2 linked regions of the Neodiprion lecontei genome follow. The protein of the gene in region 1 purifies or fractionates together with the protein of each later gene. This does not show direct contact. Links are inferred from orthologs where the notes say so. Each region holds a gene or a part of one and is shown on either strand. Other genes may lie near its edges.

What was found. Proteins that work in one complex are often made in the same cells at the same time.
Region 2: the proteins of chromatin-remodeling complex ATPase chain Iswi (region 1) and inorganic pyrophosphatase fractionate together in Drosophila melanogaster (co-fractionation; 4 studies listed by BioGRID, with this or other methods). This does not show direct contact. The link is inferred for Neodiprion lecontei from reciprocal best matches to the Drosophila melanogaster genes Iswi and Nurf-38.

The regions. Positions count from the first base shown.
Region 1 is NC_060263.1:31,594,994-31,601,513, reverse strand, and holds chromatin-remodeling complex ATPase chain Iswi, read right to left. Parts: upstream 4,658-6,520; 5' UTR 4,300-4,657; coding exon 1,264-4,299; 3' UTR 536-1,263; downstream 1-535. Other genes in the region: NADH dehydrogenase [ubiquinone] 1 alpha subcomplex assembly factor 3, read left to right, coding at 4,822-4,852, 4,971-5,052, 5,153-5,270, 5,352-5,756.
Region 2 is NC_060263.1:9,925,916-9,930,540, forward strand, and holds the start of inorganic pyrophosphatase, read right to left. Parts: upstream 3,048-4,625; 5' UTR 2,956-3,047; coding exon 2,763-2,955; intron 1-2,762. UniProt on the Drosophila melanogaster protein: Component of NURF (nucleosome remodeling factor), a complex which catalyzes ATP-dependent nucleosome sliding and facilitates transcription of chromatin.

The DNA of each region.
Region 1 (6,520 bases):
ACTACTGTCAAAAACATACGTATTCGTATTCATAGTATGTGTAAACGCATTTATAGGTATATAGGATTCACCTATATATGTATTATACCTGGTCACACATTCTATGTGCATACTATATTCATTTATTTCTGTACGATTATGTAGGGTAGTATCATAATTACCGTAATAATCTCTAATATGCTTGTATAGGATGAGATATTTTGGCAGTAGAGACGGTACATTTAAATATTCAATTTTTATGTTTTGCACACAGATAATTACAGATAAAATCTTGATCGTAAAAAATGCAATTGATTTGTCGATATGTATTACAAAATTATGCTTTCTTTAAATCAAACAGTTCATTTTTATTATATTTATATGAAGACGATTACGAGGATAATTTAATAGTTCTCAAGTATTTACGCTACGTACGAATGACGTGTGTTCACTGCAAGATATTTGTTACTATTATACATATATGTATTATATATGTAATTATAGAAATATTATAAATTGTGAAATAATTTAGGATATAAATTAAATAATACATATGTATCTTATTTCATACTTTTTATTTACTCTGCTCCTCGATAAGAATTCTTAAATCCAATAAACGTGATAGTAAACAAAATTCTTCGTACCAATCAATCGTGAATCAAATCCCCAAGTTTTACCAAGTAAATTAATTCTAAGTGAGAGTACAGAGAACACTGAATTTGACAATGTTGTAAATATGATTGATGTTTAATTAAATCTTTCAGCGTTAACAATTAGAGCATTTCTTTGTTTTACATGCATATTTCATAAATAACTATGGTTCCAAACGTGTGTGACAATGTACTGTTCTAGTTAGAAAAGACGTTACTTCTAAACATTACGTAAGACTTCACGGAAAGAAGGTGTTCTTCATATAAATGAAATTTGCTGTTTATCGCTTCTTTTTACAGGCAAACAAGTTATTTGTGACAAGTAAATAGGTTGTCTAGAAGAATGTATTGAATTTGTATAATTGGTGCCCCTCACTTCACATAACGACACAATTAATAGAAGTTATTTTATAAGATTTAATTAACGTGCAGTTAAAAAATTAAAATTTTTTTAATTTATGTTTACAGTGGTTTGATAATAGATGACCCTAAAGATTATAATGTCGAATTATTTTAACCTGAACAACCTGTGTCCGACGTGAGTTCAGCCACTGTAATAAACTTAAAGTGATATTGGAACTTATTAAAATTTAGATAAACTGAAATTGTGTTGCATAGTTCATGAAAAGTACATTTACTTCTTCTTCTTCCTAGGTTTATCTTGAGGTGCTGGAAGATTCTCTTGCTTCCGTTTGGACGCTGGTTTTGATCCAATACTTCCACCCTTCTTTCGTCTCTCTTGTCTCTCTCTTTCTTCAAGCTCTAGATTTTCACGTTCAATTAGCGTTATCAAAGTGTTACATCTTCGTTGGAGTTCTAGAGCTGTTCTTGACTTGACAAACCAATCGAAGCGAAATTGTGGTGCAGATCTTACGGTTGCTCTGAGTTCTTCGTATACATTTTCTTTGTCAAATCCAAGTTTATGCAACATGCATACAAGGAATCTGTCCTCTTCTTCGGTATAATTTTTTCCCTTGTTTGTTCCATAGGCTATTCTTAGCTGATGGAATGGTGCTCTATATCTGGCCATTTTTGCATCCAGAGCTTTCTTTATACCGGCACGTCTCTGAATTTTTGCTTCTCCTCGCTCTATCTGAGCCATTACTCTGTCAATGTCTTGAAGTTCGTGGCAACGTTCCCAAAAGACAGCAGAATACTCCATTACTTCTTCAGGAGATTTTCCTTCAACATCTTTGGCAATATTCTCAATGTCATCTCGACCATATTTTTCATTAGCCTTTATGAATTGGTTGAAATCCCTCTTCGTCCAGTTTGTGAATCCCTGAGTAAGCAGTTTTTCTTTCTCTGTCAATTCCTCGTCTGTAAGTGGCTGAGCTTCGTCAATTTTTCGCTGCTCTTCCTTTTGAATCCTTCCTGCGTCAGATCCAAGTTCAGGGTTTTTTGGTACTTTGTACCCAACTGTTTGTCTGAAGTAATATATTTCTTGATCGAGTAGCTCAAACAATCGTGGCGGAAAAAATTGGAAATCTTGAACAATTGGTTGTTTCGGAGGTCTTGGTGCCTTTGGAGCTTTTGGCTCTGAGACTCTTAGCGCTTCTCTGAAGTAAGCATCGACTGCATAATTTGCCTTTCTCTCGCGTTTAGGCGGCTCAATCCAGTTGCCTATACCTAATATTTTCTGCTTCTCCCTATAATCCTCACCTTCAAATTGGTAGACTGAATCGGTCGGTGCATCTACTGTAAAATTTCTCAAGGATGATTCACCCAAATTTTCCAACTTCTGTTTCATTTCCTCTGTTTTAGCTTCTCCTTTCTGAAGTATCGTATCAATATCTTCATCCGTTATGGCACTGTCTTTAGAAGCAAATACTTCATTAGCACCATGTCTAATCATGTTGAGCATCTCATCCTTGTTCAAAGCTGTTTGTTTCGCATCTACTAGTCTGCCCTGCTGAATAACAAGTTTATCCAAGCGCAACTTGACCTCGGCACGTTCGACAATCTTTTCCTCTACTGTATTCTCAGTTATGAACCTGAACACTCGCACTTGTTTCTGTTGGCCGATTCGATGTGCTCGATCCATAGCTTGCAGATCCATTTGAGGATTCCAATCAGAATCATAAATAATAACTACGTCAGCCGTAGCTAAATTAATACCAAGACCTCCTGCTCTTGTGGATAACATGAAAATGAACTTTTCGCTCCCGGGAGCATTATATTCATTTATTTGCCGCTGTCGATCTTCATGAGCCGTGTTACCATCCAATCGGCAATATTGAAAACTTCTCCAATGGCAATAATCTTCAAGAATATCAAGCATCCTAGTCATTTGACTAAATATTAATATCCTCGAGTCTTGCTGCTTCAATTTTGGCAGTAGTTTATCAAGGATCACCATCTTTCCACAATTATAAACTAAATGTTCGTCAGTGGTATACGGAGGGCCCGGCTCAGCTCCGTCAAACAAATATGGATGATTGCAGCACTTTCGTAGCTGCATAAGAATGTTTTGTAATCTCATTTTTTCAATTTTTCCAGCACCGTTTACAATGTCGATATCCTTCATTAGCACTTTGGTATACCATTCCCTCTGCATTTTACTCAGTCCAATGTAAACTTTGATTTCTTTTTTAGGCTTAAGTCCCTTCTCTACTTCAGCCTTGAGGCGTCTAAGAAGGAATGGTCTTAAGACAGCATGCAGCCTTTCAACCAAAGAATTATCTCCAAGAAAACTGTTGGTGTTGAACCAGGAGTCAAAGTCGTCTGAGCTGTTGAACACGTCTGGTAATAAGAAGTTTAAGAGTGACCATAGCTCGTGAAGATTATTTTGTAACGGTGTGCCGGTGAGTAAAAGTCTATTGGCAGTCTTAAACTCGCGCAAAATTTCTGATAACTTTGATTTCTCATTTTTTATCCTATGAGCCTCATCGATTACCATATACCTCCAGTTAAACTTTTTGAATACTGATTTCTCCTTTATTACCATTTCATAAGACGTTACGCAGACATCCCACTCCCCTGGCATCATTACGTCTCTGATGAACGTGTTCCTTGTCTCAGCGTCTCCAATCAGACAAACAGCTCTCAGCGAGGGACACCATTTCTTAAATTCATTCATCCAGTTGGCTAGCGTTGACTTTGGGACAATTACAATGTGAGGTCCTGGAATGCTGCGGAAATGCTTCATGTATCCTAGCAATGAAATCGTCTGAAGGGTTTTTCCAAGACCCATTTCATCTGCCAGTATACCGTTGATTCCATTCTCATAGAGCGAAATCATCCAGTTAAGACCACGAATCTGGTAGTCCCTCAGCTCTCCTGATTTTATATAATGGGGGGATGACTCGAAACGAGTCGTTGGCGCAACACTGACATTGCTCTCAGCAAGGAGCTCTTCATCTTCTTCTTGCTCTGTTTTTCGATGTCTGAGATCAGCCGACGTGTCACCTTTGACAGGAATCTCGGGCTGCTTCCTAGGTCTCCCAGCTTTAACTTTAAGAGGACTGACACTTTTGTCTTTCTGATTATTCGTCATAAAATGAGAAAAAATTTCGGTCTGTTTTAGTAGGTAATCAAACCTCTTGCTCCTGTCGGTCTCCAGTTTGGTTTCGAAATCGCCACCCCTAGAAGATGTTGTTTCTGCTGACGATCCGTTTGAATTCTCCCCCGTTTCGACAGCGTCGGCATTTTCCGTCTCCGGCTTGGACATTTTTCGTCGCTGAGGTCAATTTCTTGCTTGATTTATTCAATAAAATACTTGAAGCGCCTACCCAACGCCAGATTATTCACCGGTATTGTGTGTAGTATGCCGTGTTCACCGACGAATCAACCAAAGGCTCATCGCCATTTTAACGCTTCAACTCCCTCCAAAACTAACTTATGTCCGCAATCACTGTCAGCTTGACCAGCCAGTAATTAAATGATTAGTACTAAACCATCGCACGTAACTCTAATGACTAGTGGTAGTCTTCAAATTGCCACAAACTGTAGCAGGTCGAGCTTTATTTCGACTTTCAAAAGTATATACACAACGTGAGTGAAATGGTAGACCTTTGCAGCGTTGCATGTACGGCGTGAAGCAGAATAATGAAGCTTTCAGCCGTGTCCACACCGGATTTTAGGCCGATCTAACGGAAACACAGATCTCTTCACTGGATAGTGGACTGGCGCGACTCGCACCGCCGAGTGGCTTTAGTAGTATTAGTTCGAGATTAGCGAACGAAAAAGACCAATGACGTCACTTTACGCGTCCGTCGAAACCGGTAGGTTCCTATAACCTCCCAAAGTCCAAGAACGTAACCTTAAATAACCTTAAGATACAATTTCAAATTCAATGTAACCTCAAACTTCATGAAAATAAATTATCAATTTTTTCGTAAGAGTGTTTTTTGTACCTGCAAACGATGACGACTACCTTCATATTTAGCCGTATAATTTCGGCAAACATGAGACAAACTATTAGGTGAGTTACTCGAATTCAAATGTGTGAATGATTTTTATTATATTTTGTATTTGCACGTCTTTTGTAAATTATTCTTACCAATACCGATCAATTGTTATAGGAAAATTCATAGTTCATCAATCATTTGCAAAAGTGCTTACGAAGGTGATGGAAAAACGACGATATCTATTCTTAACAGGGACGAAGTCTATGGACTCATGATAAATTCCTACAGCAAGGTATAGCTATTATATTTCTTTGTTTTTTGGATAAAATTAACGTTTGTACCAATACAGAGCTTAACAAAATTCTTGTTGTAGATTGGATTTCGTTTAAACAATGGCATTAGTATCATTGGATCACTTGCAATATTTCCAAGAAGCGTACTGAGTTGGAAGGTTAATACTATAGATGATGTCAACGAGGAAACTCTGTCGCTATTTACTATTCTTGATCCAAAACCAGACATTTTAGTAATTGGAACTGGTGACCCTCATAGTAACATTAAAGTTGACAAGAAGCTGGCTCTGTTTGCCAAAAAATTCAAAATGAACATGGAGATCGTTCCAACATGCCAAGCTTGTCCTATATTCAATTTCCTTAATGCTGAAGGAAGATTTGTTGCAGCTGCGCTCATCCCACCTGCAAATCTTGATTTTAATGCTAATGATTCCATACAAGATCCAATGGGTCCAAAAGCTTTAGAAAATTCGACCAACTTATAGGTACGCCAACAAACATTTTTTCAGTGAAGGTACATGTAATATTAGTTAACTTGGCTCTGAAAAGCGAAAGAAGCAATTAAAATTACTTTTGGCATTTTGATTCAATGCTCATAATTATTTAAAGTATTTACAGCTATCCACAGTGTCTGTTAGTGTATTAACTTTACATAAGTCATATCACATCTGTAACTGGCTTACCTCATTTTATTGCAGTAAATGAATCCAAAGGACTGTTATTGATAGTGTAGCTATTTATGAATTTGAAAAATATATGCGTATCTATGCGATATACACATAATTTATATCCATGTACATAGTAATATTATGTATGTGTAAAGCAAAATATTATCGTAGAAACTTGTATAGTTAATTAATTGTTGATAGAATATTTAGCAAATAAAATATTCAACATTATTTATGTACAAAGTGTGAAGTAATTCACTCATTTATGAATCATCATCCATTACGTTTATATAATCCCTGCCTGACACATATTTAAAAACAGCTTAAGCAAGGGGTGCGTTCCAAACCCAACTGTAGTCAACTCTGGCCAACTCTACGCGTTCCAAACCTGTAAGTCTAAATATAGGTCGTAAACTCTGATAGTTCCGAAACTTGCGAGGTGGCAACTCCGGGTGACTCCGAGCTAATTGAAATGAACCCTGCCTAGAGCAGGGTTAGATGGAGATGGGTTCAGTGTTTTTGCGCCAAGATTGAAATTCGATAGTAGTCGAGTATGGGAACGCCCTAGTGTTGCACTTGCA
Region 2 (4,625 bases), about 22 Mb from region 1:
TTATGGATATTTGTTCTGGTATTTCGAATTCAACCTATTACGCACTTCTAGAAAATATACACATAGCTTCATCTACAGTTTGTGAATCTGTGTTGTCATTTGCTGTCTCGCAAGAAAAAACGATGAATGAAGAAGCAGGAAACATACGTGATGAGTTGACGGTATCGGGAGACGGTACCTGGAGAAAACTAGGCTTTTCATCTTTATTTGGAGTTTCTACATTAATTGGGAAGTATACTGGCAAAGTTCTAGATGCTATGGTCATGAGTAGTTATTGCACAGCGTGTAATATGTGGAAACATAAAAAAAATACAGAACCAGTGAAATATGAAATGTGGTATGAATTTCATGTACATGAATGTACCATTAATCATACTGGAAGTTGAGAAAAGATGGAAATTAGTGCTATTGTACAGATGTTTGCAAGATCTTTGGTTAAAAATGAAATTAAATACCTCACATGTATTAGTGATGGGGATTGTAAAACTTTTAGAAGGATCTTAGATTCTAAAACGTACGGAAAAACTGCTGTAACGAAAAAAGAATGCGTTGGTCACGTCGAGAAAAGAATGGGAACAAGACTCCGTGGTCTCAAAAAGGGTAAAGATAATAAAGGGATAGGCGGAAAAGGAGCAGGGAAACTGACTGATAAAGTCATCAAAGAAATGACTAAGTTGTATGGACTAGCTATTCGACGACGGAAGAAGTGGGTGTCCATTTTTTCGAGGCGGTTGTCTTCAGACCACTATAACTTTAATTCTACTGAATATTTTTAGCTAAAAATTTAACTGTACATTCTTGAAATATGTATAAATAAATGGTAAAAAGTTCAAAGTTCTATCCCTTCATTGGTCTTTACAAAAAAATCCTAAAAAATGCTCAAAAATCAGGGCGTCAAACCAGAGGACCCCCTTAAATCTTAATAATGTTCAAACTATTCTCATAAGGTAATCATATGAATCAAATTGGTCATAGCATCCAATAATTTTGGTGGGAAGCATTGCCTTCCTGCTTCTGATTTCACCTCAGATTACTTCGCAATATACATCAAAGTATCATGCAACTATCGAAAAACAGTAAAGGCATTGCAGCTTTCTCAATGGCATATGACATCATCTATGTGCCGGTATTATTGATTAAGAAATGATTTTTTGAAGAATTTTCACTAAATAAAGTTTAAAAGAAGAAATTCTGACAATCCGATAAAACACCATTAACCTTTCGTACTGCTAAACAATGTGTATCATTATTGGATTGTTCACAAATTTTTAATTACATTAGGTATATTCTATAAATGATCTAAAGCACTTTGTATATCAAGGACACAGCATCCTTTTAAATATTTGTGAACCCCCCTTTAAACGAATTGTCTTCAAGAAAGCTAACAGTTTGTAACAGATAAATAAGGAAATATCTCGAGGAATCGAACATCTATATTTGTCAGCAAAAAGCTTTTTTTAAACAAAGCTGTGGATTTTTGAAATCATAAGGTATCAAAATTTCTGTGGCGTGACAATTGAACAATATCAGATGCTTCTTTGGTAAGAAACTGGCTGAAGTGTGATCAACATTTGATAACCCAGTATTAAAGAGAGGTTGAAGTCTACGACGTTGACGTAACGAAGCATTTAAAAAAATTCCTAGTGAACAACTTTAAAATGTAGTAAACTGTCAACTGACCACAAAGCCAGTTTGGAACAGTTCTATAAACCAATTCTAAAATTGCCGCACAGCAACTTGAAAAAAAATATGATTCTTAATCCTCAGATTCAATTGGCAGATTTATTAACTCTTACATAAGGTGAAATTCCAAAACAATTTTTAACTCTTCAGCTTCCGGAAACAAGCCCTTTTCAGGATCTTTTTCTGACCCAATAACTAACAAATCTATTAATATATTCAGGAGATAAGATCAACAAAATTTGCACACATTAGAGTTATGATAATGCCTAGAAACCTTGAGAATATTTAGATTAAATCATGCGTGAAATCAGACTCCAAGTCACTAAGTCATTATGACGTATTTCTTTCGATTAATGTAGTTTGAGTGAATCATTTGTCTAACTATGCGATGAAGAAACTTGCAGAAAAACCACGGTTGAAACTGATAGTGAAATTCCTGATCAGTTACTTCAGCGATACTAAACATATGGAATTATATGGTGAAATTGATGAAATCAAGCATGTGTCCGTTGACATTTAGTCGGCACTACTTTCCTTTTACATAATTAGGTATCTATTCCGTCAATCTCGCAGATATCTGTGAATAATCGAAATAACTCATTCCGCCATATGAAAAAGTCTAAATGTCAAATTCCATTCAATCGTACGGCTGCAGCAACGGTAGAATACTTGAATATTGTTATTCAGAAATCTTGAACATCTTTCCGGTTTAAAATATGTGGTCATGTCACGTGACCTAACGCTACATCACATAGCACGTCTATACATATAAAAAAAAAAAAATACGTATACCGCGTATACCGCAAAGCGTGCGTGGGATAACATATTTTTTCGAACGGCGCGAAAAGTATCACAGAGAATGAGGGATATTTGATACTACATAATGAATGAACGTTATTGCCGTCACGAACGTGCTCAACGGTCAATTTACTCTAATCATTTTACAAGAGTTATCTAGGAATCGACCCTCTGGGGTTCAGGGACCATCGCACAGCAGTCGATAGGTCAGAGCTAATACGGAGACGGGAAGAACGCGGCATGAGATAAAGTGTAAATGGCTCGGAGAGTTGACTACTCACTGAAATATATCCTGTAATTCGTCGTGTTTGGTGTTCCCTTCTCAACCGTGGTATAAGACATGTTGGTTTGAAAGGCACGCTTCGCTGCCGAACTATGCGGCTTCATACAACGACCGACACTGGCCAAACTCATGGGAATTAGAAATTTTCTCAAAGCGGCCGACCGCAACACGTGCAGCTCTACGGCGGTCATAGTGACACCTGGAGAGTTACAAGGAAACAAAATACTTTGGAGACCAACACGGGCCCTCCAATCCGCCGATAAAGATAACAGTCCCGGTTATACTAACCGAGTCATTTTGATATTGCGTCGTAGTGTATTGGCGAATTCGACTCGCAGAAAAAGTGCAGTCCAAAGTCCGCATTCGGTACGCACTTTTGCTGTGAGTCCAATTCATTATACCAGGCGGACTTCTTGAATGGAAGCGACGCAAATGACCAAATGAGCGACCTACTCATCTCTGATATCCGAATGCAACGACCGTTTGTTTCATTGTTTATGACTATTCCATAACACTTCTACTTAAGTGTGAGAATCTTGTAGCCAAAGGATATCAAATAACCAACCATTTGAAACATGACTAAATGAAGTGTGACTTTAAAACTCATCAATTAAAGGCCAAAAGCCTATTACTAGATCCTCGCATTACAGACAGCTATAATATCATTGTACAAGTACCACGGAGATTAGAACCGTATTACAGACAAACTATGTTACACCATATAGCCTTGGAGATAGAATAAAACTGTGATACAATAGATATACATATAACCGATATAATATAGAGCAACTAACGCTAGGTTACATTGCCGTAATAATCTATAAAACTAGCGATTGTGGAACCTCTATAACCATGCATACAAATTATGAAACATGTATTGTAGAATCCTTTCGAAAACAACGTATTGTAGACAACGCTTACGAACGTTATGGAGGCAATGTAGATATCTAATGTGGAACCGTATCGAACGCTACCTGGAGATTACATCAGTAACACTATGAGTAAACCACTGAAGGTAAGCCAACTTGCCGGATGATTTTGTATGGTTAACCAATGGAATATCAATTCAAAACAACGAAAAATATAATGATGAATCCATTATTATAATAGCATCAAACCCTTCAGATGATTAAAATTCATACCGCTCTGGGAATTAAACGTAAAAATGTACAAATCGTCAACTCTTTACAAAGCTCAGTACAATTTCCAAAGAGGTGACCTGAATAGTTGCAACGCCGATTAACAGGCAACCAAAAAGCACAAGAGCAATCCTCAGATACCTTACAAACCAATCTAACTCGAGTAAGCATATTAGCCATCAGAGAAAACTATACAGAACATACATAAAAACTTATCCTAAGATTCTTATCTAACCAATTCCTCAAATACTTTACTCCGTTAAATACAATACGAATACCTGAGAATAATCACAGCAGTAGGTATTTAAAGTTAATATTAAATCTGTAATCATATCTGCTACGTACTCACTATTATACCTGTCAGATAATTAAGCAAATAAAATATAACGCTCTCAAAATAATATTCAAATACACAATCAATAAACCCTATTGTGTCTCCAGTTAGTCGTTAAAGCAAATGAAATATTCCAGTGTATTTATGTATTCTTGTCATACATTAGAATATTCTGGAAGCAAAACTACGCACCTAATACAACGCGCCGTTGCCTCGAGAACGCTGACGCTATGGTGAAATCAACACCACCAGAATAGTGCGCGTAAAGCTTGCACGCATAAGCGAACTGATACAGCGAACTCGAGCATAAGCGCCTTATGATCAACGACCTATGTCCACGCAACAAGAGATTGCTTAGATCTGAAATCCTGAAAGAAATGAGGATGTA